Linked DNA regions of Styela clava. The protein of the gene in region 1 interacts with the protein of each later gene in a pairwise test. Links are inferred from orthologs where the notes say so. Each region holds a gene or a part of one and is shown in the gene's direction. Other genes may lie near its edges.

Region 1 (17,129 bases):
TATATCGAAATTTTAGTAAACAGAGTTAGCTACTCATAATGTGCCTTAACTATCTATCGATCCAAACGTTGCTTCTTGATCTTGACAATGATCTCGAAAATTATATAGAATACTTTACTGATTACTAAATTAGTTGGTTACTTGTGTCTAAATTTACCTGTTCTGTACATATATTTTTTGCATTTGTGTTTCGATTTTTTTGATGTTGGATATTCGAAAGACAGAAAAATGCTCAAGCTGTGGAAAGAAATCCTATTATATTTTGTTAGGAATGGTTTCAGTTGATACTCTAAATTTTACTAAATTGTTCCATTCTGGTTTTATATATTCCTAGACAATCTTGCATGAAAGTCATTATTACAATCATGTTCAGAATTATTCTATTCTGAATTTGGGATCATATTTAGTTTGTTGGCAACCATGATAAAAATAGACCACTTCCAACAAGAGAACATTGCTAATTTAAATGGCTAACATGGTCACTGCACAGTCTAAATTCCAGCCAAATATTAATAGAATTGCATCCAATGTTATATGAAGGTGTCGATTATGGAAAATATTATAATTTGGGGCGAAATATTCAGGCTCGTAGGACATTTGAAAACAACTTTTTACATCCCCAAGTACTAAACATTTTTAAGGCGGGAAAAGTGACTTTTTCAGCAAAATGATCCATAGGATCATGTCCAGTAGAGATTTTTTGGATCTAATTTTTTTTTCTTTATTTTTATGATTGTCTACGATGGAATATGCTGAAGTTTGTTACGACAATATTTAAAAAAATTCAGTATTAGATTTTACTTTACAGGGTAAGTTGATTGTGTTTTTCATTAAACTCTATTTCCATTGTGAGGTTCATAATGACAGTAAAAAATGTAAGGAACCAAATGATGTACCGGCCAAAGATCTTTTTACCTTTATCAACTCAATTAAATATTATAGTTCATGCAAGTTCCAGAACGCAATCACATTTTCAATCAAAGGAGTGAATTTATATTTATGAATGCTATAGTATGGTGCAATGGTTTAATTACTGCCTTTTTGAGTGTTTTATTGAATTGTTTTTGTTGATTATAGTTTTGTTTAACTTTTCTGTAGCAAAATTGAATGGTTTTTGAGGGTTTCATTTATGTTATAGTGTGTCGGTAGTTCTATTTGATTTGTTTAAAGTTCATTTTTGAATTAAATCTATTGCATCAAAGTAAGGTAACTAAAACTACATTAAAAAAAGTAGGGAGAAATGCCCTAGCTGGCAATTATTGGCTGAAAGGGAAATTTTTGTGGTTTCTAACTGTTCCAGCAATGATTGAAAATTGATGATTAGATACTGAAAGAGACACTTCTTTAATCTTGAATTAAACTAAATTTAGTGAGTATTCTGGTAATTAATTGATATAAAAACTGGCCAGCATTGAAAAAAATATATCAAAAACGTTTTCCTTTTCATCTTCGTTTTCTGTCTCGTACTATAAATTTTTAGCCATATTATATGCTTATTAACTTGTGCATATTGATATTCTCATTTGTCACTGTTATGCCCTTTTTTGTTTGTTATTTTGAGTACTGGTTAAAATTTTGCCTGGTTATTTTATTTTGTGCATATTTTTTGTTTTATTGGTGGCTTTTGCTTGAAATATTTTCAACTATTGTGATTTAGTTTTGGTTAAATTGCATTTTTATTTCTCAAGAGTTTCATATCACAATGAGAAGTTCGTTCAGTTTTATTTAAGATAGATAACCCGTCCTTTGCACAGTTTTTGTGCCGAAAATATGTTTAAATATATATTACAGGGAGTCATTCCCTTTTTTCACATGTGGTAAAAGTATGGTTACTGTTGATAATTATAATTTAGAATGTTAAATTGGTCTTAGAATTGTTAAATACGATTAAACTTGTTCAAACAGGACCCTGTTTTATACATATGCCCATTAACGCTTCCATATCCACTCATCAGTATTAACTTTCTTCTACTGTAAAATAATACCTTTTATTTTTGTATATTTTGTTTCTCTCACATTCTTCTATCTCCTTTTCCTTCATTTGATTCAAATATAAAGTTGAATTGTATATTAAAATATGATGTTAACAGGTTTGGTTCAGTTACTATACATTAGGTCTACCAAAACCATTTATGGATTTTTTCTCATTGTTTTTGGTAAACGATAGTTCAAAGGCAGTACCATACTTATTACCAACCAACTCTCTTAAATCTTCCATTCTAGTAACACCTCTTATTTTCTATTGACCTGTCCTCTACTAACCTCTTAAAAAACTTTTCTCCTTGCAAAATTAATTTCAACACAAGAGGTATTAAAAAAATTCAGTGTGTGCCCAGGCTTCGAAAATACCAATAAATAGTTATGGACTCTATAATTTTGTTTATCTAAAACTTTTACATATTTGATTTCTTCAGGTCTGGTTTAAATTGTATCGCTTGTAAATTTCTCTTTTAAATGTTTCCCTATAAATATACGAGTTCTTTGGAGATATTATGTTGTTGTTTTATGTGTGTTTTTCTTTTTAGGCTCGGGTATAGGATATTTTGCACAGACCTGCACAATCTAATCCAAGTTATTACGTTCATGAATTTGGATGACAAAAACCTTCAAAAACAGTTAACGACTACCTGTCTTTCCGCCATGTAACTTGGGAGAAATTCTCTAAATTAAATTGGCATCAACCGATCTAGAGTGTGTTTTCTCAACTTGAGTATGTTGTATTTTAAATCTTTCCAATGAGACAGTGCTGTTGTGTGGTCCAAACTCACCAATTCATGTTTATAGGAATAACATAGTATTATAGAAATAGATTGATAGAAAGGAACTTTCATTGTGTGTATGGCTCAATCATCTATGGTTGAATGAAATGCTAGGAAAAGTCATGGGATTGGGCTTCCAGTGGTCTGAATGCAAAGCAAATATAATGGGAGCATGTCAGAGCGTTTTGTATTTCAGGCATTTCAATCAACCTTGTCAAGCCTTTCAATAGGCAGTGGGTGATTCAAGGAATCTTCATTGTACAGTTATAATTAATTAGTCTTATAATGCTAAAAAGTAGCGATGTGCTGAACATGCCTGAATCTTTCATATGCAGCATATTCTTAAATGTACCACAATTACCAACATACAATTTATTCAACAAAACAAAGCACCAAAAAATAAGATGTTAAAGAAGATAATACCGATAGTTAGAAGAAAACAAAAGTAACAGGTAAAACTACGCATGTTGCACTGCACTATGCATCGCTAAAATATGACACCAGGCAAATATTGGCAGCAGAACACTGAGCAAAGCACAGATACAATACTATGATACAGTGAGGTAACAACACTTAAATATTAATATTTACAATGATAAATTGCAACAAGCATTCTCCATCACAGATGGAATATGAAAAAAAATTGGCGACTTGGTTATGTATCAGTTTTAACCAGTAATTAAAAAAACAAACATTTTAAATGATTGAGTTTATTTATCAAGTTCTCAACGAACTTATCATGGTTTTATCTTCCAAATCTTCAATTTGAAGCCTAGTATTTCACTGATGACGCCTGAAAAGGCAGATAACACAACCACTCTTGTGATATTATATAAGAGAGGATTCATCGCTAGACCGTAAATGTTAAACGGCATCTCTATTTCCTTTATAAGCTTTGAAGCAATTGAGAGAACGCTGTTCGCTCGCTGTAATTCCTCTCTTTTATTAGGCTTCTGCTTCATTTGTAAATATAAATTTATCTGCTCCGTCAACAGCATCGATGTATTGCTGTATTTTCTGTTAATTTGGGCACCGATCGTCATAAAATTAAGTAAAAATATAGCCAAGGCAAGTAACCATGCTGTCATTTCCCAGAAAATTAAAGAAGAGAGGTATAGATCAGTGTCATGGAGTAACTGAAGCGATATGAAGCAAAGCAAGAAGAGAGAAAGAAAAAATGCTGAAGAAACAATCACGTCAACTGATCTTTGTGGCCCACGACGTCGCAGATACGATCTCAGAGACAGCCATAATCGAACATTTTCCACTTTATCAAGTCTGAAATGAGGAACGTCTGATTTCTTTGCCCGTCTTGATGAAGTGAGGTGGCTGAAATACTTCGCAAATAACAGTCTTTGCCTAAACGTTTTATGAGCAGCACAAAGCATAACAAAAAAAGTGAAGCTGAAGATAAACCGTTTCATTGCAGTAGCATAAATAACAAAAATGACTTTGAAGTTAGTGGTGTTTCCATGAGTAACCATGAATAAACTTTCCGCCAGTCCTTTCACAAACTCCATTGTTGAACCAGTGTGGCTGGTTGCACTATTGTTAGCATTTTGATGAAAGCAAATGCGATATAAGGTAGGAATAGATGAAATCAGTATCGCAAAGCAAAATCCTATGAAAAACATATCACTCGGCGAAAAAGCATTCTGCACTTTTTTTCTGATAATACCTCCAATGTCCAATAACGATGCTTGAACCTTTTTACACTGATTAGACTCCCAAATTTTTACGCTAATTCGATCAACACGTGGACCAGAGCCCGGAAGCAGAACAGTTGCTGAATAATTATCTTTTCGTGCTTTCTTGTTGTATCTTGTCTTATTGTCATTTGTGCTTGTACTTTCTGAATCCGAGCCACCAGACTGTTCAGACGAATTACTACTGGAACTTGTACTATTTAGATTTTCAAGGCGATTACCATGACGACCATGTTTCTTATTTTCAACACTGTCAGTACTGATTTCGTCAGATTCCCTATCTACACTGGATTGTCGTAAACATTTAAAATCGTCTTTTTTATTATCAGTAGATTTGTCACAGTCCGCAACACTTTTATGCTGTATATCACCATTCTTCATATTGGTAATGTTCAAGCTTTCCTCAGACTGTTCCACTATGGGCAACTGTTCTTGACTTGCATTTATTTTTCCATTTTCGTGGACTGTGCTGGATTTCACATTTTCATCTTTTAACAAAGGAGTATCACTCTCTGCGTCACTATGTTCAGATGAGCATTTGCTTATTCCATTAGAACAATGGTTATTGTTTTCTGTACTATCTTTACCCTTATTAGTGAAGGTTGAGGTGAGTAGGGAGAGAGTACTTTGATGTGAAGTTGATGAGGAGCATACAACAGGTTCAAGTAAAGCAGAAGAGAGAGTTCTAGACTTCTTCATTTTTCGAGAATCATTTCGTACATTCAAGCGAAAATTTGTGGATACGACATGACAATGCACACTTCCCAATAAGAACATAACAATGGATGGCATCATTATTTCTGAAGTTGAAATATATTTAAATTCCTCTTCTGTTCCATTGAAGTAAATGAAGAAAACAACAAACTGAAGAATATACATTAGGAAGAATAACAATGTGATCGGCTTACTACTCTGCTGAATCCACCATTTAGCATACAGTGGTAGGAACGATACTCTGATAAAAGCTTGACAAGTTACAACCAGCCAACTATATTGTGGCTTATTTTTGCTGAACGTTGATCCACGAACAAGGTCAATGTCGATGAGGTCAGGCTTCACACTAGAACTTCTTTTATCCATTGATTTCATTCCGCTGTCTTGCTGTTCTCGGATCTCCACCGCACGTTCCCATATTTGCAAGTCGTAAGCACCAATTTTCCGCTGGTACCAAGACAACATCGAATCCATCGCTTACTTTTTTTTTTCAAAAGCTTTCACGTCACAGTCATTATTGAATAAATAAATAGTTTGTACAATGTACCGCAGTAGGATGTTTGTCAGTTTATGCTGCAGAGCATACTAGAATGCCCTGCTATTTTATACATTCATCTTCACTTACCAGCTGAAAAAATAAGTAAAATTTCTATACTTTTTTGGACAATTATTCAAGATGAAAAGAAGTAAAATAATTAGAAAACCTTGCTCAGATACGTATATCATATTAATACACTTCATTATTTCGAGAGTTCACTAGTTATATAAATGTGTAACGAAGTTAATGACAATTTTCTCTTGAGATTTTTCGTTAATCATTATCCAGGAAAAATTAATTGGCAAATCGATGATAAAGGTAAACAAGAATGAAAGAAAAAGATATTGCCAATATATACTACCTAGTTACTGTTGTCTGCCAGCATTTTAACACAGAGAAGTATGGTATACACCAGGAGTGCACAACACAGGGCACGCGTGCCAAATTTGGCACGCCATACGCTCAAACGTTGCACACGAATGGTTTTGTAAAAAAAAATATTTATGAGATACACTAAAATATTACGTTTATATCAAAATCAGCAGTTTTTCAGGACATTAAATTGTTTCAATAAATATATATTTGTTATTATGTAATATTATTGAAATTTGTTTGTTTTACGGGAGTTAATTTACAATACCAACGATTGTGCGTGGCACGCGACAAGATTATTTTGAAAAATTTGGCACATATCCTCATTTGAGTTGTGCACCCCTGGTATACACAACCACATACTGTAATAAATATATTAATACCGGTAAGTGGCATAATAAGCCAATGGTAAGTCTTTATTACTTCTACTAGCCTAATTCATTAAAATTTCATTTGAATTTGTGTTCCAAATATACAAGAATGAAGAATGAGTTTTAATAACTTAAATTGCTACTTCACTATTTAGGTGGTATAAGTGGATTTTCATAAAGAATCATAAATTTAGAAAGTGGACAAAATATCAGACTATATAAAGTTATATGTAACAATAATAACTAATTATTTAGCTTCAAGACTGTAGTGCTAAGAAGTAAAGGAATAAAATCCTGTCCCCATTCCATTCACTTGTTTATAATTGATGGTAAAAAAAAATCATTTCACATTCGCATAAATTAAACAATTTATGTTACAAGGAAAATATTGATACGAATCAATGGAGGTTAGTTGAGCAATTCAGGAACTTATTAGTGGAAATTTCTACAGTGAAAATGCTATATTAGAAATAATACTTGCTTCGTCACAGCCGAGAAATGATAAGTGTTTTTGAGAAGTCAAATCTCTTACGTCCATTATTTCTGTAATCAGTAATCAGTAGTTTATTTTCTCACCATACTAAATGCACACTTGATATACAAATTGCAATAAATAAATAAAAAGGCATTTCAGGGTGAGGGGAGCCGCGAGAAACCAAATTTGGTTATCGAGCAGCGGCACCCATAAGCAAGTCTAACAAGGAAATAATAACAAAAAAAAAGTCGAACTGTGTATATACATTATTTCTGTATTCATGTATATGTTAACTACATACCTGCATACCAAAACATAACACAGGTTTAGCAGGTGCATTATTGAGTGAGCTACTTCGACGATGTTCTGAATTTTTGGTGACAAAAAACTATATTATAGAAGCAATATGAATTGGGAAGAAACTTGAAGACATGTTTTTATTTATTAACTATTTTTCATTTATCTGTTTATTACATTTTTTATTTTCTCTCATTATTTTAATCTGTATTTCGTTGTAATTATTTCAGTATTTGTTCGTAGTTTAATTATACATTTTCATTATTTCTGGCTTGTTTTTGAAATCTATCTATTTCTTTCTAGTGATGTATCACTTTTGATTTCATAGTACAGTAGTAGTTAATTCTCAATCTTCTGAAGTTATTTCTTTCACACTTGCATGATACAAAAACTCACAATTCAGAAACAGTACTAAGTACAGCCACGGTCAGATAGTGGTTCAAGGGTGAATAACAGCACAATGTATTGCTGTTGAAAGCTATAACATTCTTTATGTCAGTACCGTACTGCCGTGTGTTGAGCTTTATAGCTTTATGTCAGTATGTCCGTCCGTTGCTTCAACTGACAGGAAATGCTTGATAAAGATAAAACAAGCTCAACAGCAAACGATAGACAAAAGCATCTAATGCGATGTACAGATAGAATAGTAGTATATTTACACATTTATCCCGGGGGAGAGGAAACCAAATATAACTGAAAATTGGCGGAACCATTAGCGAAGAACAACAATCGATAATATATATTACATACGTAGGTCGCCTGTCTATTGAAGACAACCCATTCTACCCCTTGAACTTGGGGTTAAAAATATCTTTCTTACTGCCAATTGCGAGAGCTTTTCATAATACCAGTTCAGTTATTTACATAATAAAGAGTTTGCAACTTAAAAACGGTAATTCCCGCGTTGTAAAATCATAAACCTGACGAGGAGGGCGACCTCATGGCTCAAAGTCCTTTGTTTCATAGCAGATTCAATGACAGTGCCGATTCTCGGTTTCCTTGTCTGTAATTCAATTGTTCGCTAGTAGTCGCTATGTAGCAGTAATGAATTTCTGAGATTTTGCATTGGAGCAACTGTGCAAATCCTATTTCAAACTTAAAATAATTCAGTCGCGGTTTAACTGATTCGTGGGTGCATGTGGCGTAGTTTAGGTTGAAGATCCACGCAGAAGTTTAGAACAACTCAATTACAGAAGTCGTCGTTAACGAAATCGTATATTTTATTAATTGCAGGATGAATGGATGGAAACATTTCATATGTTTTATAAGACTTTGGTATTACATCAGTACATACATCTGTACATGGCGATCAACAATGGAAAACATATGTCAGAATGTGGAATGGTCAATTAAGGGTTTTGTAATAATTTATGTCATTATTTAATTATAGGGTACATTTTTCAGTACTAGTAAGTAAACAGACAAACAATGCTGCAATTCAGATAAACTTAGTATATCAATGAAAGGTTTCCTGGTTTCTGTATGTGAAAAAATTATGCCTTCTTTTCATGTTCTTTGCAATATCTTTTAATTCCATAAACAGAAAAACATTCAATGTATAAATGGCTGTTTGTATAGAAAAATTTCCAAGCGAAGGTGTGCATCATTTGGAAATTACTAGAATAAATTTGGAGAACAAGATACATTGAAATACAAAATTTGCAAAGTAGCGTATTTTTAAGACTGTAAGAGGTTTAGCTTTACAGTCATTGCTATAAATAGAATGTTTTCATAAATAAAATAACACAGTAGCTCCTATGTAGGCCTACCCTAATTATAAGTCATTGATAAATAAAACCTATTGTTATGTTTTTATAAATATACAATGAAAAATCAATCAGGTCAAATAATCAATCAAAATTTTTTATACAACATCCTTCAATTAAGTGGTTCCCAACATTTTTCATCAAATTCCTTCCTGTGTATACCTCTTTATTCCTCTCTTACTATTCCTCTCTTTATTAGTGTTAGTTCAGTCTTTATTGAATCATTAGCTAGTGATACTAATGATTTGTACTATTTTATACTGTTTGAATAGTTAATTACAATGATAGAGTAAAAGAGTAAGTAAAAAAAGAATATTAGTAATACTACATACAAATGCAAAGTGAAATTTTTCCTTCTGAAACAGCGAAATCCTTCTCTGTTGGGAAGCACTGCTTTTATCTTTCGTAGCTTTGAGACCAATTACCAAACTAACTGCTTCTGGAGTTTGCCATTAAATTGTTTTGAGAATACCTTAATTTCAAATCTTTTAAGTTTTGCATTATCAAAAGTTATTCGAATGAATGTGTTCCCTAGTTGCATCTTGTCAAAAATTAATTATCAGCCTTTACTGAGATTTCATATGCTCTGAATTTGAACATAGTGTAATAAGGTATGTTTTGAATTCGATATAATAAATTTTTACATTCAATGCAATGCCTATTGCAATATTGTTAGTCTTTAAATAATATGATAGCAGGAATGTAAATACCCACCGTAACAAAATAAAATATGGAATTACAATTTCTATCTTCTAATGTCTATAGAGGAAATTAACTAATTGTGGAATAGTTATGAGGTCATTTCCTTTCCGGAAATAGTCCAAAATTACTTGTGAAGGAAAAAATAGAAAAAGCATTGTTGGAATAGAACATGATTGTAATAATACATATCTGCAATGATTCATGTTATTATTCTTTGTTTATTTTATGCAAATGAAGGAAATTGTCTGTGCAGCTGCTTGATTGAAAGGAAATTTTCCCAACACACATTGCAGATATGAAATATGTTATGACCTATATAGTAATTGGTGAGGATTCAAAGAGCCTCCGAATGCGTTATAGATATATAGAGTTCTTTTTTATTTTATATTACTCGAATAATACGTTGTGCTACAAAATCACTATAACATAGCCCTGACCTATTTTATATATATTATTCCACATGAAGTTGGCCACAAGCCACAACGATTGAAATATTGGAAATCGTTTAAAAATTAATTAACTAATTAGGATAGTTTTATTTGAAAACTTATCGTATCATATTGAGCATTATGACCTGCATTCAATTTCTCAAAAACTAGAGAAAACTGTTTGACTTTGGCCATTCGTGATTCAACATCAAAGAACCTTAACTTTTTGATAAAAATAATATCTCTTTACACATTGCCTGATATCAGTAGCGGCTTGCACAGGTTCTTGCTTTGGGTGGAAGGCGTGAATAAAAAAGGCACCATATAAAATTAATACTAAAAACATTTAAATTTCGTTTACCTAAACATTCGACATATCTTTGTTAATTATGGTTCTAAGTGTACCTTATCATTCACAGGTAAATTGGCAATGAAGACTCGTAGCCTATTGTAGTTCAATAATGACAATATTGGCAAACCAGCGTGGTTTTTAATCATTAATGTTTGGGTTAGTTTACTCAGCATATGTAAGTGTATTTGATCACCTTAAGACAATATGGCACAAGATCGAGTTAATGCGAGGGCAAGGAACCGCCCTTCATTTGATCGCTTGGATACAGTGATGTCAGACGATGGTGAGGGATATGAAGTTCTTCCATTGCCATCGCCAGGAATGGAAGAACCTGATAGTCCCACTTATCCTTCTACTACAAGTGCTTTTGGTAAGTTGGGCTATTTATTACTGAGATCTGGATACAGATAAAGATAAGCAAAGCGAATCTGTTATGAGTAATAAATGAATTTATATAAATAAAAAAAATAAGTCAAAAGCATGTTTTTACAAAGGATGTTCAAATCAAAGATATTTTCAAATTGATTAAAAATAGATTATATTCAGACAAACCTTTGAGTTCAGGAATATTTGGGAACAATTTTATTTTGAAAGCTGTCTTTTAGGGATGTACAAAGTGAATCAAATGGTTGAATAGATTTGAAGTTAGTCATATTCAATGCTTAATATTAGAAATAATTAAAAGTACTAAATTGAAAAATTTGCCATCATAAAGATGTTCAAAATGACCTGAATATTTGAATCGATTCATAATGAGTTATGAAATTTCTAATTTTTGGGAATTTTTAGGAATCGTTAGATTTGAAGAGGAATTGAATTAACTTGAAATAAATTATATTTTAAATTCTTCACTTGCACCAATAAAAACTTCTTTTTCATTTTCAGCAATCAAGCCAAGAGTTCCTTATATGTCGATATACAGCAGTCCAAGTCGACTTTTTGCTGGATTGAATTCAGGATTCCTATCTGGAACGCCAATTACTCTCAAATTTATTGAAGCATCAAGAGATAATGCTCTTCATCATCCATTGAATCCATACTTGTAAGATTTGTTTGTTGAATAGTGTCAGCATACACTTCGCATACTAAACATGCTATGAAGAAACTCATATATCTAAGTGGCATAATTGACACCATCAAATATCAGAGTGGCTAATTTCAGTACTAGTATGTTATTATTTTAACCTTCATTGGGCATAGTGGCTGGGATGTTTGTCTACCGGCTTTTTAGATTTTAACTTAAAAATGTCTGATAGCCAGTCTATTATTCCACTAGATGCTACTACTCAGATTACAACCAAAACAAATTGAGGAAATTGAACATGCTTCATTGGAAATTCCAGTTCTTCTCACCTCAGTATTAAGATATTCCATGCACATAGTGTTAGATTACAGAATAAAGCATTTCCCACTTGCAGCTAAGATTTTGTATTTATAACTGGACCAATGATCATTATGTATGATTATTATTGTCCCATGCATATGCAACAATCAACAGGATATCTATTCCCATACACAATCTAGACTGGCAACCGGATGAGAGTTTGTGGTTTGCTTTATGAGTAATTTATTTATTGACTTTCGTCTCTTCCAGAATGAATTTCAGAAATGCTATTGGTTGTTTTTAATATTAGTATCTTTTGGATTACCGGTATGTCTTTTCCAGAATATGTTGCTCTCCGGTTTAGGCATCATTATAATGTAATATTCTGTTCTGTATATCTAAGATGATGATAATAGTGATTTGATATTGACTTCATTTTCTGTTTAGGTATACAATTGAAGTGAGTCATGGTCCTTTTACATGGATTGTTCACAAACGTTTCAAACATCTTCGTGAACTCCATGACAAACTATGGGCTCATAGAACATCATTGAAGATTCCACTGCCTTCAAAAAGGTAACAAGCTATGGTAATAGGTTTGTTTGGGCCTGGATTTTCATAGAGCATGGGTTTCTCGTTGTTATTGAATTATAACCAGAGCTGAGAATTCGGGAAAATTTAACGCTTTGAAACTATCTGAGCCACCTCAAAGGTGACTCTGACCACAAACTCCTGGTTTACTGAATATTTGACTCCAATGCTTGACTCTAGGTTGAAAGTTATTTTGACTGCATCTCCCAACTTTGAAAAAAAAATTTTGAAAGCTTATGGTGCATGCATTTCCTTCTTAATTGTCTACTGAGAATGCTTGAAGCTCAAATGCTTTTTATACTTTCTGTCAGAAAGTTTGATTTAGATTATCACCACCAGACAGCCTGATTGGCCTAAAATGTCTACTCGACTCTGGAGAGTTTGAAATCAATATACTTCATGTAGGCCTAGGCCTATTTAAATTAATAAAATTTTGGGTTCACATAGTTGGCTGCTTTTTTCATGTTTGATATTTTTTGCTTTGAAAAAATGAGTCTGGTAGTTGGTATATGAGTTATCATGTTATTGTTGATTCGTTTATTTCTTAGTATCTAAAGCATACCTCTTTATTATCAATCTATTTTCAATTTTTGCTCAAATTTTGCAGTCATAAAGAAAAGCGAAAAACAGTAAAAGTAGACAAACGGAAAGGTGAGGCAGAAATTAAATTACCAAGATTTCCGAAGAGGCCTGATATGTGGGTATCACCAGAACAAATCACAAAACGCAAGGTGAGTTTGGTAGAACAAAATTATTTATATATCATTTATTGCTTGATTATGCATATATGACGTGTTTGAGTCAGGCTTTGTTTTACATTGCAAGTATCATTTATGCAACTTGTCAGGTTTTTAAATAAGAGGTTTGCTGAAATATACTAAGGTAAAATGACTAATATTATGACCACTGCAAAATTGTTGAAAGAATTCTACTGTATTTCATTTAAAAGTGAGCCAGTAAATTATATGAAAAAAAAATTTGGGGTTGAATATTGGGCCACATAGGACTCCGATAGAAATAAAAGAAATTGGCTTCTACCCACTTTTCCCATTTCCAATTGCTAACAATTGAGAGTTCAGTGGCTGCCTGTCTAGGACCTTGTGAATTAGTGCGTTTAAAGAAAAAGCAATTCTTGATTATCTTTCAATCTATTTTACACCACAAATATACATTCAAAGCTTCCAAACGGCCACACCATGAATTTATTCATAATATAATATTGTTATCATATGTAAAGCCTCTTCCATGTAATATTGACCTTTTCAGTTCATTGTTAATGAGGATGCAGCAAATTGCTTGATATTGTAAACTAACTGCAATGTCGTAGCTATTTTACCTCAGGGCATTTTATGCATTGGAATTTCAAATATCAAAACAAATGACACGTAATTTCATTATTCCGACTTAAGTGGATCAAATATCAAAATTGTGTATGATGTATACAATTTGCAAAAAAATTTATAAATCATTGTGGTAATTCTAGAAAATTCTTGAAACTACTGCTGAAAAATGTTATTTTGAAGATTGAAACAAGAAAATTAACCTTTATGTAGATTTTTGTTGTATGGTCTAATTATGGATTTGGTAGGAACGAATACCCATTCCACCGAATAATCGAATCAATGTGAAATTCTTGATTTTAAGAATATTTGAGAATATTTTATTTTAAAAATTTGTCATAATGTATTTGACATGAACAAAAAAAGCAGACACAATATTTATAATCTTGATGACTAAATTAAATTTTCATGAATTTACAAGGTTTTTTTCCAATTTCTCTGTAGAGCATGAACCATTTAGAATATTCATATTTCATTCCAATATCATTGTAATTCATTTTGATTTTGACTCTGCTTGGGTGTAAGGTATTTGCTATTTTTGTGCCCGCCTGTATTACCATTTTAGGGCAGTGTTGCTTTAAATGTAAACATTTCTTCTCTGCCCACTATTTTTTATATTTATCTATTTTTTGCTGAATGCGCGTGGATTAATGTCATTGTTACAGTGTGCTAATGCTTCCAAGGGACAAACTTGATCCCACCTCATTAATTATTAGTAAGTGAATGATTTTTCATTTCCCTGTTGTTTTCTTGAATTTTAGGCTTATTATTATCATTCATATCATCCATTTTTTAATTTAATGATCTTGAAACTAAAAATTATTTGTTATCTCATAGTTCCATTATCTACTTACCGTAGTTCCGAACTTCAGTTCACATGTAAAATTATAATAAGCAATTGAAATAAAAAATTTCATTTTTCCATTATAATCAGTCCTTCTCAACTGGGCCATCAGGGCCCTGCCATGGGGGCCACACAGATTTGTTCTCCGAAACACATGAGCGAAAGCCCACACTGTATTATTCTTGATGACTACACTAATTTAAAGTATTTTGACTGTAATGTATTTTTCTTTTGCTGCCAATTGTTGGCTTTTCATTATTTAATATGGCAAACAAAACAACTGGTAGAAACGCCTTAAAATCATAACTAGGTAATTTTATAAAAGAGCTGCAGGCAAAAAATATTGAGAGTTTTTGAACGGACAACGAATCATGAAAATTTCAAAACTACTGAATTCTAAACGACATTGAAATGTACTGACATTTTAGATGCCATTTTAATAAAGCTTCAACATCTTAGACAATGGTGATAGATATGTCCTGGTAACGGTTTTAGTTTCCAAAAATTAGAAATTAAATTTTTTTTCATTCAGTCATGTACATTCCTAGTTATGGCCTAGAAAATTAACTAGTATGTCTATTTACGGAAGGAACCAGGAAACATCTTAGCTAAAATAGCTGTGGACTTTATCCGGAAATGATTCCACCGTTCTGTGCTTGATTGTCTGATTCCATTTCCGTTATATAATGTTGTATATACCGAAACTGTTTTGTCATGTCATACCTATACTGTATTTTGTAATTGTGATTTCCAAATAGCTTTGAATCATTACATTTGCAATATATTGCTGTGAATGCTAAAAGTGAAAAAAATTTAACAATACTATTTGTCAATATACAACTTCATGAATAATAACTAAAGTTTGAATTGTTGAAGTATGCCTATTTATACGAATTGCTATTGCACAAAATGTTTATTTTCCATATAAATAGATTTGATTTTGATTTTCAAAAAACTAGATCAGTTCAAATATTTTGTTTTTCATAGACCATCTATGACAAGCACATATCTTTATAAATGCAATTGATGCATGTGATGCAGTACATACTATGCAATAAACTTTCTAGCTAAGAATTAGGACAAGCCATGTTGTATGCAATTGGAGCTGATGTTTCACAAACTTTGAAACTAAATGATATTTCCTAGGTTACTTCCTGTTGGAAAGTGGCTATGCAACATGCCCTTTGAACTTTTATTATATCTTGAGGTGTTGTTACTCTATGACCACCTTGTTAGTCACTGATGACTCCCAAAATAAAAGTTTATTTATTGGAATTTGAAGGTTTTGGGAGTGCAATCAGCAAAATGTGGGATTCTATGTCAATTTACCTTGTAGATTTTTTGCCAGTGTAGAATATGCATACCAAGAGAAATGATCAATATATTTTTTAACAATGGATTTTAATTGTGTTTCAGGAACATCTTGAACTTTATGTCAACAGTTTATTAAAAAGTACAATGTATAAGAAGCACAGTTCAATGGTAAGCTATGTTTTTCTTTTTGAGTAGCTTAATTAACCATTTTCTCTTTGTATTCCTATAATATTTTGAATTTTATTCGGTCTCCTACAATAATAAGCCCGGTTGACGTCATGTGCATTAAAAATATAATGTGGAGCCACAGACTCAAAGTTGGTATGTACATTGGATGTAAGTCTCTGAGAGGGAGTCATTTCAGACTTAACACAGTTGGTATTCCAGACTTTAATCAGTAATAATCTAAGTAAAATTTACTGATGGAAACTCAAAAAGTGTGTTTGTGTGTGCAAAATCTTTATTATTTCGAAACAATCTTATTTTCTGAAACCTGAAGCGAAAAGTTTTCTCAGCTTTACAGTCCAATGTACTAGTAAAACTCAACTCTGTCATAGTGTATTTTCTTGAATTATTCTCTTATTTCACACTTAAATTTTATGATTTTGACATTCCAGAAAAAATTTTTGGAAGTCAGTCGATTCTCATTTATCCAAGATCTCGGGACCAAAGGAAAGTAAGTGTTCTGTAAAATTCTTTAATATCAAAACAGCTAGGCATTGAATATTTCTCCTAGTTAATATTTAATAAACGACCATATTTCTTATTTGTTTTGGTGTGCCATGTTTATAGACTTGTATGCGTTGATGTTTACTTAAACTCTATTTGTACAATCTATGCGAGTCACCCCACCAATTTATATCAAAGGATCACTTATACCGCACGTATAACATTGAAATAACTTTTGGTTTCGTCAAATATAAACACATCTAGAAATTAGACACCGGACCATTGTGCCATTGCAAAAAGTTTCGATTTTGTTTTCAAACCGGTTTGAAGCTTCAGTATCACCTGTATAAGTGATATATAAAACCTAATGCTGTCAACCGGAAATTTAAATAACAGTGTTGTACTTCTTACTTGAAGAAAACTTTAGACCAACAACTAGTTCCATGTAATGTATCTATTTGGTAACTTATTATAAGAATAAAAAACCTCAAACAGATATCGTCTACTATAAATCACAGAGATGTTGTGAATATTTTTTTTAATAATCTTTACTCTGGAATAAAATGT
Region 2 (16,581 bases), on another chromosome or scaffold:
CGATTGAGAGGTGAGAAATCAAGTTGTAGACTGACAGTTAATGTTTTAAAATATAGTCTATATGGCATTTCAGACTGTAATATATCAGAATTCACTGTGGTGCTGTGCATATATGCAAAAACTGCGGGAATGTAGTGCATCAGATAAAATGCATTATTTATGAGAAGTATTATTCAATATTTAGTGGTATTTTTACGCTCATGCAGTTCCAAATATTTTCTTCCTCGTTTTAGATACTGTACTACAAAAGAAAACGGAAATGTCCACCAATTCAACCTAACGCAGGCTCTAATCCAGGGGTGGGCAACTTCTCTAGTCGGCGGGCCAGATGTGGAAAAATGAAGTACTCGACGGGCCGGATATTACAAAAAATACTTCGGTATCCAATCTTTATTAAATGCTCAACACTCTCAGACAACTTTACGTTTCTTGGGATATTCCATGGTTAATAAAACTTAATATAAAACCTAATTTCTAAAATCTATTTATATTTAGAATCTAAATATAAATATATCTGATAACAGTAATGGGGAATGTTTACAGCGCTCTCTGCTTTGACCTTATATTGTTTGTTTACAAGTGTGCTAACGCAATTGTTTGTTCACAAAGACACTTGTTTATTTCACCAGCTCGCAATGACAGTGCGGTGAAAGTAGAGCGATCGGCAACTTTCAGGAATGATGTGTCGGAGCATATTACAGAGTGTGGTTGGATACAGTCAGCGGGCCGGACAAAATCTCTCGAATAAAATGGATCGAACAAGAAGTCTTGAAGCGTAAAGGTATAGGAGAAGATAACAGTCGCGAACAGCTTAGATAGGCTATTCATAATGAAATACTTCGGCACTTTTCTGCAATTGTTTTCCAATTCATTTTTTCCCAACTATGAAGATTTTTAATATGTGACTTCGTCGCATAAAAGTTGATGCGTTTGACGAGTTCTATGAAATTAAAGCAACTTTTTTATTATATTTCGTTGTAAACCTATGATTTTTGGGGAATTCCCTATATATACTATTTTTGCATAAGGATTTTTGAAGCATGTTTTACAGAAAATGTGCAACCTTCGTTAGTGGGAACAAGCTGTTAATTAAAAAAAAAGAGCTCGAACGTTGAATAAGTAACGTTACGTCATGGTGCCAAAGATGCTCTCGATATCACTTGGATGATGTAGTGGGATTGATCGAAATGACCAGTGGTTCCGGCATGACGATGCGACCCCACACACATTCAACTGGCTGAGAGAGCGATTTCAAGAAAGGCTGATCAGCAGTGACGTCGAGTGTGCATCAATAAATCGGACTTGAATCCTCGACAATTCTATCTTTAAGAGCAATTCTGAGGACAATGTGTATCAGAACAATCCCTAAACAATTGCTGATCTAAAGGCTACAAGTACAGCAAAAATCAGAGAGATCCTCATAGACGAATGTGCGCGAGTGATTGGCAATTTTGTGCAACAGATGCAAGTCTGTCTCCAACGCCGAGGACGGCATTTGGAACATAACGTGCAAGACGCCTAGAGTTTTGAATCTTGTACCATCACACACAAAGATAAGTTTAAGTGTAGACAAAATGGCATAATTTAGTCCATTTCGTAAAAGTAATTGAGAATTTTATGGGTTCTGTTTTTTGGAGTCAAAAGGGTGGTAGGCTATTATTAACTAATTTGCTACTAAGTTTTATATCTTATTTTGGAGTATTCTTGTATCGTATCTCTCCAAATGGTTCGCCAGTTATAATGTTTAGTATTTTCTTTGTATTCTAGAACAGTGATTCCCGAAGTGGGCGATATCGCCCCCCAGTGGGCGAAAACGATACAGAGGGGGGCGAAAAAGTCTAAGGGGGCGATTTCACGAAAGCTGTTTTATGTTCGGCGCACTTAATTCTGTACTCTGTGTGCATTCGCGGGCTTGAATCATGTGAGCGATGTTCACACGCGAAAGGATTTCTGGTCTCGTCTTTGCAGTAAGGTAAGGTAAGGTAGTTTACGTATCCCAGTGGTCGACAAAATACTGCCGAAGTAAAATAATCTGGCCCGGGACGATTCACTGAATGGACCTTTGACCGCGGAAAATTCTTTCCATACTTTACCATTTGAAAATTTTCGGTGCTTATTTTAAGAGTGGTTTCGCGAGCTGTGGCCTGTAAAATGGGGTATTTGATTCAAACTATCATTCTAATACACACCATTTAACAATCTGTTTTTTAAAAGTACCGATAAAGAATTTTAGCCTAGTCTATCACAGCTATTTCTACACTAATTTTTGATTGCTGTATTTAAACTGAAACTCATAGAAAGACAAACTAATCATTGACTTATTTCATTTAAATTTCCGAAAAACAACTAAATACTAACGAATATAATTCAAAACGCGAAAATGAGGTAGTGCTCACGACCACCCCCGAAAATTTGTCCGAGTGAGAGTGTCTGACCTCCTGCGAAAGGGGGCATTGTTACGTTTTTTGCATCTTGCTGATTGGCCAATGTCACGAAGTAAACAAGGAAGTCTATGCCCGGGGAAATATCCAAACGGCGGTTTTGACGATGAAATTTTTTTATTTATAATCTACGCTCGAGGAGTAAATTACATTTTTTTACGTAACAGAATTTATCGTGAGACACGTTTAGAGTAAATTATACTATATGCTAACAATTTAGTGAACAGCCACTCGTTTAACGAGCCTACAATTTAATTATAATTAGACAAATGGAAACACGCAGAAAAGTTGATGCTGAGTGCAGGGGTTCAATAGCGCAGTAAATATTCGAATATATTGCAAAGCAATAAGGAAATAAAATCCATATTCTATTCGAGAGATTCATCACTGCTTGATTTTTGTAAGAATGTATCTCCTTAAAGAAAATATATATTTATCAAAATTTCACAAATCGTGCGAAAATATTCACTTCGATGTTTGGAAGTACATATTTGTGCAAACCATTATTTTCGAAAATGAACATTACAAAGAACAAGCAAAGAAGTGGGTTTGGTGATGCCCATTTAGAAAATGTTTCAGTCTTGGCGTCGTAAAGCTATCCAGCGCGATGCAGCAACAAGACAGTGTCACATTAAATGTCATTGTAATATTTTTTTAATAGGACGACTGAGTTGAGTTCACGATTGTCGCAGTTTCCGCGTGTGTTTCGTTTTTAACTCTCAAAAAATATATGCGACCCGCAAAAGACTAGCAACCCTGAATTTTGTCCTGCGAGCGACATAAAATTTGTCGACCCCTGGGCCGTAGCCGATAGTCAGTCACGGCTTCTTCCACATCCGAGTCCATGAATCCAAAAAAATGGCTGGTTAATCATGGAATGGAGGCCGTGATGGGATGAGGAATCGGGGATGGATTTTTCCGAAGTATTTTGGTGCAGGTCATCAGGCTGTACGAATGAATGAAATGTTCAAAAATTATTATTATAAGTTTGGGAAAATTAACTTTGTTCTTCTTATTTTAATGTGAAATGTGGTGAATTTAGGAAGTGAAATGCTATAAGGCAAGAGTACACGGCGGTTTTTGAGAAGGTAGGACCCTGGATTTTTTTCATTTCCGACCTATTATATGGTGAAAAAGGGGTTTTCAGCCGTGCTACTATTGCTATTAGAACAATGAAATCACCTTTCCATCAGTAAATGGGGTAATTTTAGATGTAATAAAAAACTCGCTGAAGAACACCAAGCTCATCTATCTCATTAAAAAACACTATAAACTATGATTTGTCTTCTTATTTGGTCTGTAATAAATTCGTTTCTGACTTTATATTTTTTTGTAGTGCAGGGGGGCGATGAAGTTGTATAAACTACTTTAGGGGGGCGATGGTCAAAAAAGTTTGGGAACCACTGTTCTAGAATACTTTTGGATGTTCTTGGTTCTGGTCAACTCAGTACTTGCGTTTAAAATAGATCTATAGTCAGGCCTACATTTTATAGCATCTTTCAGGGTCATCTAAATAGGGGAAGGTGGGGCACGTTGGGACATGGGGGCACAGTGGAAAATCAGCTCTCACACTGATACTATATCCGCAATCCTGTCCGCGGTTCGATGTTTCTTCGGTGAGTTACAACGTCCCCGCGAACGGACAACGGACGGGTAAAGCAGCGCAAGCTACGAGGTGAAATTGGTTTTAGGAGGTTGAAACTAAAATTTTACCACTCCAGTTATTTCTTTTTTTTTACTTTAGCCTTCCCAACATGACAAACCACCGTCTGATAATTTTCAGCTTCAGTCCACTGTAAAATATTCATAACGTTGAGTGGATGTGCCATCCGAATTCCGCCATGGGATGGTCTGAAAATAATGGTCCGGGATTCAGTGGAAAGAAAATGCCCTACAGGGCACAATTCGACAGTGTTTGATACAATAAGTGCTTAGAGACCTAGAGATGCGGTATATTTTGTGTAATATTATGGTTTCTTCCGACCCATGGCCCAATATGGAGTATTTCCGAGAATCAATAATATTTCCAGATTAGGATTAGAGGAAGAAAATAGTCAAATTTGTTTGCGAATTTTTTTGTCAAAATATCTGAACTATTTTAGTTGAACATTTTTTTTTAAATATTTTTAAAAATATTAAAGCTTCAAATTTGAAGTTTCCCTGTTCTTTAGACGTTTATGCTGATTAATTGCTTATTTTTAAAGGCATACCTAGTTGAATTCTGACAGACTGACCCATTGTGCCCCAGGGTCTGTCCGAATGTGCCCCACAAGTGGGATACAGTGGGACACTTGACAGACGTTTTTCAAAGCATTTGGGTAGTAAGATGTGTGTTGCAAAGGAATTTCTTAGTCGCTGAATAAAAACTACATTTACCCCTCTATGCATTAGTCCCGCAAACGTAAGTGAATATGCATAATTAACGGCTTAAAATATGCAAAAGAAAAAAAGTGTCCCAACCTTCCCCACTTTCCCCTACACAAAACGACGGCACAAGTACCATGCCCACTCTTCAAAGTAGTGGTTTCATACATAAATAGAACGCTAAACAATTATTCGAATTGTATTTGGTTTCGTAAAAGTTGTAAACACGATTATTTAACTATGAACTTGTATATATATATAGTTACTTACGGTGCCATATCGCGATGTCACTGGCGCGGCGGTGTGGCTCAACGGGCTAAGCGTTAGGAATACGCTCGCCACCGCACCTCTAATTACTCTGCGTGGGTTCGCAGGTTCGAATCCCATGCAGGGATGGTTATGTGCGAGAAGATTGCTGGGCTCCTCGCCGTCGTTGGGTGGTTCACGTTACCGCTGGTCGGTTACGGCTTCCTCCACCACCAAGTTCATGCTTCCGAAAACAAACAATATAACTAATCCCATACCCGACTTGGAATAGTAACCGGACGAGAGGCCGTGGTTCGCCATATGGATAAGCCGTCTGTCTTATCGGCTTTCCTCTCCCCGGGATAAATATGTAAATCTATCCTATCCACTATTGATAGGGCCTCTAGTACGGTCCATGCATTTATATCAATAATATGTAAATATGTCTGCAGACTGCAGAGGCGATCATCCGCATTCGAGGTAATATTTAAATATTGTATACAATTCACTTCACTCAACAATATCGAAACATTTTGATTCAAATGCTGTCTGTTTGAAATTCTGTTAATGCATCTTTCAATATTAATGTTGCTGTCGATGAGCACGTACTCACAATCTGTCGTCTCTTACACAATATTATCACAGCAGACAGCACCTCATCTCGGATTCTTATCGCAACTTGTCGACTTTTATATGATTTTTCACAGATCTATAGTGATTGCTCATATACGACGAAGACGAGAATTGAAAATCAATTGAGGCAAGTCTAGTCAAACTCAATTTTCGCTCAGGTAAGTGAGACAGTGGGAAGCAGCAAGTCGAAACATTTACAAATTGTGTAATGTTCTGATCTAAATGAGCCATCTTCCAATGTTACAGTTCACGACTGAGTCATTTCGCATTAATCAAGTCGAATCAGTCCAAATATATACGTCATTTGAATATATTTTTCGTTTCCAAAAAATGTTACTCAAGTATAACCCGAGTCGACACACATGCCAACCCTTTTCATACGATATTCTGTGGAAAGATAATCTGAGCATAAACAATAAATAACACTTCATGTTTATACATCCAACAGTAATTGTCATAAAAGTGTGGTGGCATATTGCTAAACGAGATTAGATAACACTTTTTAAACACCTCGGGTCCTAGCTCAGTCTGGCAAGACAACAATCCAGTAAATTGCGGTATAAACGAAAAACATAAACTGAGTAATCAGACTGAACCAGTGGCTATCACTTTCGCCTAATTTAATTGGAATATCTGATTAGAGATCTTAAGTTGTTCTAGTCAGGGTGTAAGAAGTCTGTCTTTTTGTTGTTTTGAATGATGACAAGGTATCAACTCCTTCATTCATATATATTGCCTCGAAAAATGTGAACTAGTGGGTAAACCGTAGCACATATAGAACTTAACTATATTTGCATCGCATGGTTAAGATCTCGGACGAAAACCCATGAGACTACCTTGTAAAGGTGTGATAAATTGGGTAGGCAGTACCGGACAAGAAAGATAAGGGCCCTTCCTAAAATAGTATCCTACTGCGTAGAATTGGCTGCTTGAAGAGCCTCGTTTGCAGTGTAAGTATGATGAACGTCTCATAAAACAAAAATTATGTATTGGTCTCACTAAGAGCTTCATTCAACTATTGGTAATAACAATATCGGATAATTTAATAAGTTTAAGCATAGTGGCGATTTTTTCACATCGGCTATGGAAAGGCGTTGTAAAATTGTTTTTAAATTTACTTGTTACTCTGACAGTATTGAGGTCGGGGTTGCTACAAATCCCATATCATGCAAGTGTCAGCTCTGTCACAGCAATGAATCAAATCGTCGTCCTTAGCAAGTCCGTGGCAGCTTGTGACTCAACTATCAGTCGCATATTATGGCTTTTAAATGGTGACACACAATTGAATTTTATCAGTAGTTAATATAACACAAAAAGCAAAACCATTACGCTGCAATGTTTTATTGTGTTTATCCTACATACAATTATTTTCCGATCAATTTGCTTTAAGTAAATTGGGTGAAAATTGCTGCCAAATCATCCCATTCTTTGTTGCCAAATGTGTTGAGGAAAGGATACTCATATGGATGTTCAGTCGTTTATATTAGCATTCGGTTCTCAAAGTTCGGAAGGAAAATTCTGCAATTTTAAAAGTAAAACAACTCATGTCATACATACTTGAACTTGAAAACTCGCTTTGTCACTGATTTAATAACAATTTATCGATCGCCTACGACATATTGAATAATTTTTGCATTGATTACACATAGGGTGGCAAAAACCCATACTGTATATATATATATATGGTATATGACAACCCTGATTATCTTGTCCCAAATTCCACAATCAGTTGTGTTAACTCTATGTATATCTTACATAATATTATGAAAATACCTAAAAAATACACAATTTGGGTAATTAATATGACTCTTAGATTCTAGAAGCCAATGTGAGTTAAGGAGTAAAAGTTAAAACCGAGCTATACGTTGTAACTTTGGAATGTGAACAACGGATAAGCTATAGCGTGACGGAAATGCCGATGATTTCGTCTCGAGAAATGTTTTTATTCGTCGGTTGTCTGGAAGAATACGTCATTCTTAGTTAAACAGTTATGTCTGTGCGATGTGTCTAGTGAGGCCCAAATACTATCACAATCCAGAGTCTGTGTGTGCTTGCGAAGTAAAGTAGGCATCCGACAGAAGTGAGTTTTAGAGAAAACAAGTTCCCACACAGGTGAAGTTCAGAATTTACCTTGTAGCGTGGGAGACATGGGAATGATCAAAATATTATTGTGTCGAGCTTATGCTAAAGGCCTGAATGCTACCAAGAGCAGAGGTATATACTGTACAGCTGTATATAACTCAAAAACTGCTTTTGGATTGTTGAGTCCGGTAGGTCTGTAGGTTATAAAAAGTAATCCTCAGATAGTGTCAGAGTGTGTGTTTTATTGCCAATCATCCAGTGTTGTAGTTCAGAATATTAAAAAGAATTGGTGTTCATGTTAATTAGGTTGGTAAGACGCCATGTTCGATTTCGGAAAATATACAGCGAGATCAGGTTGTTGTAGTAAGCAAACACCCTATGACTCACTTGAGTAATTATATGAATAGTGATTAACCTTTAGTAATTGATAGTTTTGTCATTTCGATATAATTTGTATAATATTCATATATGGAAGAACATTCATTTAATTTCTGACCTGATAAGTCGCACTAATTCGAAATTTAGTCTGTGTGGAATTGATGACTCAAATCTAGTCAAGTACTGAACGTTGTTGGAAAACACAGTTAACCGTAATATCTGAGTCTTCAAATATTCAAACGCAACTGTTTGAAAAGTCACATCTGGTTTTGATGAAATTTTATAAGCGACAGAATATGGGACACAGATAATGCGCGCTATTCGATTGTCTACCTCGGGGACTTGATACGAATTCATCGGTTTTGTATCGTTTCCTGTCGACAATGGTGTGTACTTAAGTGTCGTACTTCGCCTTATACGTGACTTTCTGATTTTTAAAATTACAGCTCGACTGCTGAATCAAACATTAAGGTATGTAAAACGCTATTATGGGAAACTAATTAGTAGGCACAGACCCGACAATTGAAACGGCAACTCTTGCGATAGACATATAAAGAACGGTGTTTTCGACGATGATGTTATTTACCAGAATTTGACCAATGTAGAACATGAACCATGGATAAAATACGACTTACCGGTGCATTTTACAACTTGCGATTGCTTGACACAGTGTTGATACCAAACGAGCACAGTAAGTTTTGTAATTGCAAATAAATTGTAAAGATTTTAACATTCGGGTCATGCCGGAGACAAGCGTGTATTATGTTATTTCGTTTATACTTTTAAATGATCTTTCATGTACAAAAACTACTTAGTCAACGATAATAGTTTATAAATTAGGAAGGAGTCGTGTATTGAACGGAATTACCAAACTGAGCCAAATAAATTATGCTGCACAAACATATTTAAATAATTTTGTCGATTTCAATTCTATAATTTGCTCCCAATAAGTCATATGATTTATATTTTATCTCCGGATATGCTACATAAACATATTTAAATAATTTTGTCGAATTTCAATTCTATAATTTACTCCCAAAGGGTCATACGATTTATATTTTATCTCCGGATATGAAATTTATATTACGCGATAACACGTACTCCCTAGAGAACGCGGTTAGTATGTCGATAGAATAATAGACTTGGCGTTTTTTAAAATAACAATCTGCCGGTGGTTCATATAAATGTAAGACAGTTTTGGGAGTAATGAACAATTTTATATGTTCAATATTTTCCAGTAGGACGATATTCCTCCCCGAGAGACGACATAATACAAAAACTTTTCCGAGAAAGAGTAAACTCTGCGAAATTGCTGGTGGAAGCAAAATAAACATTCATTCAGTCGATATTTCATCAAAATACCTAAATACAAACAAAGCAAGTAATACCCGCCATAAAATTCAATCGCATTTATAACCTTACAGTTACGAGTTTATTATTAAAATTATAAAATGACAAAAACAGATGAAGAACTTGATAATCTTATTGCGCTTTTGAGCAAGAAGATAACTGAATCTGATTTCCCGCAACTACGAGATGCTTCAAAAGATGAGGCAATCAAGGAGTGCGATCTCAAGCGTTTGTCGTCACCAAAGGAATGGTTGACATTTCTTCGTGAAAAGAACCTTTTGTCCTCAGGTTGGTAATTTGAAGTTTTAGGAAATTGATAAAAAATTATTTTAAGTGCAAACCAGTTCATTGCTATTATTGTCCAGACTCTAATTTTTGTTACTATTCGAATAGGAAAACAAACGAACAATCAAAACTGGCTTGAAGTTAAAACCAGTAAATTAGCTGTATAATATATTATAATATATAATATAATAGACCTTAAGTCATTTGAAGCTTGTCCCACACAGGAAAAAGTGGTATAAACAAACGATTTTTACATTAGGCCTCATGATCATTGTTATTTGAGTATAAATTTTTATTTTTCACAGTTGGGGCCAAATTGCGTATTGTTTGTCAAACAGCTCGTTATTTAGTTTTTTTTACTTAACTTAAATAAAAGGATACTTTTGTGGAACGATTTTAACGACTCCTCAGCCATTATGGTCATGCATTTTGAACGATCCCATGCTAGCTATTCCTGCACCAATAATTAATCCAGCGAATAATACCTTTTGTATATTGTCACAACACGAACATTCGAGATTAAAAGTCCACTGGAAAACATCGAACTTTCTGGTCTTGGTAAATTGTTTCAAAAAAACAAAATTTTATTCATTTTACCAAAAGTAAGGAAATATATATTCAAACTTGCTGAAATTTGCAAAGTTTCCCAACGTACAGCACTAAAACTAGCATAAATGCAAATTTACGCTTTTATAAAAATAAATGCAAATTTATGCTTTAACGACCATATTATTCTCCACATGGCATATTGCTAAAATTTGTTCGTACATGTCGTGTCATATTTAAAATGATATGGTCAATGAATATTATAATTTATAAAATAATTTTTGTATTGGCAGATGATCCGAGTTTCATCGAACATGTTTTCGAAATCTGTCGTAGACCGGACCTATTAACAATTGTTATGGAGTACAGAATATCAAATTTAGGTCTTCAAAACGAAGAGGAATTAGGGAAAAAATTAATCCGGGTGCGAACCTCAAAAAAATATAAAGGTTCTCCAGGTAAATAAAATATTTATTACAATGCAAATATTGCATTGGCATATTATACAGTTATAAAAATGAAATTAAACGGCTAGAGAATTTTGAGAAATATTAAAAAAAGAGTTGTATATATCATCCGTCTTATTAGTCTTGAAAAGCAATTTACAACAAACTCATATATACATGTATATATATGTTTATGCGTTATCCCAGTTCACGACAGTTGAGCAATAAATGCGTTCAAATATAATTTGCCAAAACGTGTGTCATATTTGAGAACATTTATCGAGTCACTTTTATTAATTCATTACTCTAATGTATTTTAAGAAATTGTTGAAGTACCAAACTCCTTCCCAAACTTTATCGGTGAATGCTTCCATGATCATATCGACAAGGCTTCATTAATAATTGACACATATATATTTTGTAATGTTACGTTAAACGCGTTACGTTGAACGTATCTGATTCACATTATTTGAAGTACAACATGATGTATAAAAATGTATATAAAATTGTAATATTTATTCATAATATAAAATATATAACGGTAATTATTACTAGCATCTCGTTTTATTTTTAGACCAACCGGATATCGAACAAGGAGAACCGGCGATAAAATTATCTGCCCCCCCGAAAAATCGACGAAAAAGCTCATCCACTAACTGACTCATTCCCATGGGATATTCGTTTACCAGATTGAGAGTATAGCCGTAACATTTCATATTACAATACAAATTTGTGTAATTCTCGTCATAATTACCATACTTATCAATGTAATTATTTTTAGCTGCTTTTTTTCGGTACTCCCGTAGTATGTGAACCAAGATGGCGGACACCGGGACGTAGTATGTGTACCAGGTTAGGGTTAGGCCATAATTTTATTCCAATTTTCTTTATTTTAGTTCTATTACGATTTCGGGGACTAGTCAAGTGACATCCGTAGTATTTGTACCTGAAATTATGGCCTAACCCGGTACACATACTACGTTCCGGTGTCCGCCGTCTTGGTTCGCATACTACAGCAGTACCGTTTTTTCTTACTAGCTATGATAGCTTTTGATAAAAAAAATAATAAGTTACTTAAAGTCTCGAAAACAATGTAGCAAACTATTTTTCACGGTATTCTGACGCATGATATTCGTAAGATTTGTGCAACTGATTTTATGTAGCGTTTTACACCTTTTATTGGAGCGAAGCTTTACCAAAAAGCAATCGATACGTAAGCTGCGGTTATTACGTGTTGTAAGTACCAATATATTTCCGTACCCACACGGTTTATTTACACACTGAGTGGCCTGCAAGGTGTTGAATCTGATATTGGAGCATTGTTTTTACTGCGTTGTGTTTATTTGAGCGCGGGTTCGCTGCACATACTTTGATAATGTAAATTTTTGATGCTTTTTCTGTATCATTTGCTATCTGTGTAATTTATGTCGTTTATCTGTGAATACATTTGTGCTGAAAATTTCCGCGTGAAACTGTATCTAGGCTTCGTGTCATTTGTAAGATTCATTCTGAGTACCATCAGCGTGACTTGTGATAATGTGAGGGTGAGTGTACATTTTGTTTAGTATAGTAAAATGTATTCAAAATCGCTAAACAAATTTGATATTCAAGTTTTTTCAAATAAAAAATGTTCATGAATTAATTTCCAGCTTTCTGTTATTATTATTATCTTAATTTTTTTCCCACTTATATATTTTGACACTTTAAAAATCGAAATGATGTTAAATGCCAGGAGACGAACTTGCGACTATTCATAGTTCAGTTTTACTTCCGAGCTTCCCTGTCAAATGAAGCAATTGGCACCCATCCAATCATTTTCTTGCTACGTAAACACGCGATTAAACAAACTAAAAATAAAGCTTTGCTAACGTTATTAGAAGAAAGATTTGAAAAAATTACGCTTGATCATAAATAATAACTCATAAAAACAATTCTTCATTGAGCATATAAATGCACGGCTGTCATAGTAACATCTTTGTTGAAATCGACTCGCTGTAGAGAAAACTTTACTGTTAGATGTAAAAATCATCGACCGAATAGTGTTTAATAATTGCATTTTTTGGATGTTTTTATTCAACGTTCTGTGCCATCAGAAAAAGATTGTAAGTTGATTTTGTCTTGAATATGCAACAAATGCAACTTTTTCAAATATAAAGTCCGTAGCGAGACGTAAACAAGCCAATATGCGTCATATCAATGAAATGGCTGAGTGTGTTATATCCTTGATGAATAACAAAAATATCCCATTAATATCATATGCAGAGCCTGGCCATTTGATGAAAATGCCGAGCGCGGTCAATGATATGTCTTACACAAGCTCATATTCAGCTTCAATCTACTCACCCATTCAATCAGAGCGTAATCGCGTGATATATGCCGATATACCCAGCTATTTACTCTCAAAGGCCCACTCTCCACAAAAATAACCATAAATATTATTTTACCATTTTGATATAATATAACTACATTATTTTTTGAATAGAGCGGAAAAACATCTGGAAGTAGTAATTTGGAGTCAAAATATCATAGTAAAAACATATTTGGTAAAACGACTATGAAGTCGATGGAGTGGATGCAATATTTTGTTTACAAAATACCGGCATGTATAGATTCATATAATTCTCGGTACTGAGAGCATGGAGGATAGGATTTAAAACCATGTGTAACATTGATAGCGGATGAGAAATAAAAATAACATATTTAATCAAACTATTAATGGCAGTAGGGACAGGTGTATTATTATTTACAACGTTATATATAGCAAGTCCATACCATACCATGTCGGCCGAAGCAAAAAGAATGAGATAAAATATAAACACAACCAATATCATTCCGATATGCTTAGCAGTCTTTGCATATTTTTCTTTTCTCCCTACCTTCGGGCGGCAGAGGCGATAAATAATAGGTGGATACGTTACAAGTACTACCAAAGCTGTAATGCTCATTGCCACTAATACGAGAAGCATTGCACAATTCATATACAACTCATCAGTGATCAGACCGATGTCTCTTTCATCGTTCTTCATTTTGAGCATTCTCAGACCTATCGGTGCTATGTGAAGCGGTATAGTTGCTCCTATGGAAAGAATTAAGCAAAAAATGGACATCCATACACCCGTTTTATTCTTCATCCAATCTCTTGCTTTGAATGGAAAAAATACGGCAACAAACTTCAAAATCGATAAAGAGGAAACAATTAAATTTGCAAATATTCCCGATGTTGTCAGCAATGTAGACCTCATTTTGACGTAAAATTCCATAGTTTCTTGAAATGAAAGATGATGTACGTAACTATAAATCTCCACTCCTACAAAAACTGTTAAAGCGATCACGTCCCCGATTACAAGACTCAACACCAACACGTTAGTTGCAACATTGAGTATGGTTTTTCTATAGCGAACAATCAATGCTAATAGAAAAATGTTTGCAATGTACCCAAATATTACAACAATCCACCAAAGAATGTCCGATACCAGCAGAAATATTTCCATGTCTTCAACAAGCTGTGCAGCATAATTTGTAAGCGCAACATAGTTATTGATAAAACGAGTTTTTGAGCCTGGATTTACTCCCACCGTTGTAGTATTACTGTCGTCATTCGGATTTACTGTTGAAACCAAGTCGAGGGGGAATATTGACCCATCCATTGGTATCTAAATGAATAAGACAAGCTGCTAAAAAGAAGAGGACCAGTTATTTTTCACAAAATGATTTGGTGGATAGAAATAGAACCCAAATCAAACATAGAACTGTTTCACGAAACAATCTCATATATGGTATCAATTCTATCGTTTTAATTCAAGTGTATTTAGCACTGCTATTTGAAGATTGCTAAGAATATGTATAAAAGTAAATAAAACTTTCATGTTTGACACGTGTGATATAGCTTGATTACGTGCAGCTGTATGGACCCGACCCTTGACCCCAGAAAAATTCTCTACTCTATATTGCGAACTTTTTTATGCGCATATTACGAATGTTTTGGAGAGCTGGCTCTTAGACGCTGGTTTACATGTTCAAAACCATCTCCTTAATTAAAATTATTCAACCACGTGGCTGCGAGACCAATTTTTGATTACTGCCATTACTGCCTCTAAATACTTCGATTGTCAATATATCCTATATTGACAATCGAAGTATTTAACTATTTTTGGGAACACAACTGAAAACAGGCACATATCACGCAAAACTACGAAAACGAGGCAATGTTTACAACCATGCTTGAATATCTGTCTGAGCGACTGCAGAAATTGTAATTGTTACGTCATTGACCACTTATTGCTGGTTGGTTGTGATTACGACAATAAACAAGGAAATCGATACTCGGGGAAACATCCATTATATGTAAGGATGGCAATTTCGGTTATAATGCATTGACTGTTGATGAGACAAAATTGATTGGATAACCACCGAATTTTACTGAAGCTTTCGGCGGTATTTTTCAACAATACCAAAGGGGTTTCATATTTACGACCTGAATGCGCACTTGTTGAATGTCGTTTCATAGCCGTTCTCAAAATACAGTCAAGGAACTACGGTAGATTCACGAGAATTTATCCTGACTGATAACTCATTGCTTAATTTCTATATTTTTAAGTGTTAACTATCTAACTAATATCGGTTAACCAATCAAGAGGCTAACCATTGTCCTTCATAAATATATTAGATTTTGCAATGTATGCACGATATAATTTAGTATCCTGTAGCATTGTATTCTGGATATAAACATTACAAAGTCCACTGTTTCTGACTGAATACTCTAATGTGGATAGATACCACGTACAAACTATAGGTGGTAAATTGACCAATTATTAATTGAGAAAAGTCATAATTCACTCTGCCTCAGGCTACCATTCTCATACATTTAATCATTAAATACAAGTCTAATATAGCTGATTTTCATATAATTATATTTTGTAAAATTAACAAGAATTGGCGAATGCTGTGGTTTCCTGTGTGATAATATAAAGTGTGTCCAATATAGTGTGAATAATTTTGTTGCTAAGATGTGTATATGTTCAAATAACTGTTTACTACATCTGGCATTTAGAATGGAATCACTAAGAGCGAACAGGGAAAATCTCATAATGAGTGTGTTTAACTGGTCAATAATTAGGTACATGTGTTAATAAATATTTTTGTGTGGTTAAAAATAAGTTTACTTCGCTTTTCTCATTTTTTCATTGCCAAAAAAGGCTTCTAGTTTATTCGGGGCATATTTTTCAGTCAGAAATTTGAATACATGGTACCGTCTTTTAGTATTTTATAATGTGTTTTGTCCTATATTTAATATGGAATGAATTTCGCAAAATCAGTTCAGATTTTGACTTATGTCATGTGACTCCGACCTCTCCGTACAGTATGTTTCCTTATTTTGTCCGCTTTGGAAACGATCCTGCTTTGACGACTTCTCAGCAATTATTATCCTTGCGTTTCAAGTTTTCATTTCCGTATACATTTAATGACGTTCACTAATCCGGATGCCGGATCGCATAGAGACACCGTACATATTATGTATTATGTACAAGAATTGAATCGCATAATAAGCTATGAAAAGCAAGAAATTTTCGTCCGATTCTTCGAGTTCGTCAAACGTTTTGTATTGTACCCTTGACAGGGTAATCCTAATTCCTCTGGTCTAATTCATGGAGGAGAAGCAATGCAGGAAACTATGCTATCAATATCACCTATAGGTATTATCGTCTGGTAGTACAAGGAACTGATTCTGTTAGACTTCAGTGGTCAAGAGTTATCAAAATTCACAGTAACCATCTATAGTCAACTCAGTCTCTTTGTAGTTGCTAGAGGAG

The links.
Region 2: the proteins of phospholipase D1-like (region 1) and astrocytic phosphoprotein PEA-15-like interact in a two-hybrid assay, tested with the Homo sapiens proteins (2 studies listed by BioGRID). The link is inferred for Styela clava from reciprocal best matches to the Homo sapiens genes PLD1 and PEA15.

Annotation. Positions count from the first base shown.
Region 1 is NC_135251.1:23,605,245-23,622,373, reverse strand, and holds the start of phospholipase D1-like, read left to right. Parts: upstream 1-10,527; 5' UTR 10,528-10,684; coding exon 10,685-10,850; intron 10,851-11,365; coding exon 11,366-11,522; intron 11,523-12,251; coding exon 12,252-12,380; intron 12,381-13,002; coding exon 13,003-13,126; intron 13,127-15,995; coding exon 15,996-16,061; intron 16,062-16,510; coding exon 16,511-16,569; intron 16,570-17,129. Other genes in the region: protein PHTF2-like, read right to left, coding at 3,497-5,653. UniProt on the Homo sapiens protein: Function as phospholipase selective for phosphatidylcholine. Implicated as a critical step in numerous cellular pathways, including signal transduction, membrane trafficking, and the regulation of mitosis.
Region 2 is NC_135253.1:16,807,649-16,824,229, forward strand, and holds astrocytic phosphoprotein PEA-15-like, read left to right. Parts: upstream 1-9,549; 5' UTR 9,550-9,595; coding exon 9,596-9,782; intron 9,783-10,618; coding exon 10,619-10,783; intron 10,784-11,345; coding exon 11,346-11,431; 3' UTR 11,432-12,230; downstream 12,231-16,581. UniProt on the Homo sapiens protein: Blocks Ras-mediated inhibition of integrin activation and modulates the ERK MAP kinase cascade. Inhibits RPS6KA3 activities by retaining it in the cytoplasm. Inhibits both TNFRSF6- and TNFRSF1A-mediated CASP8 activity and apoptosis.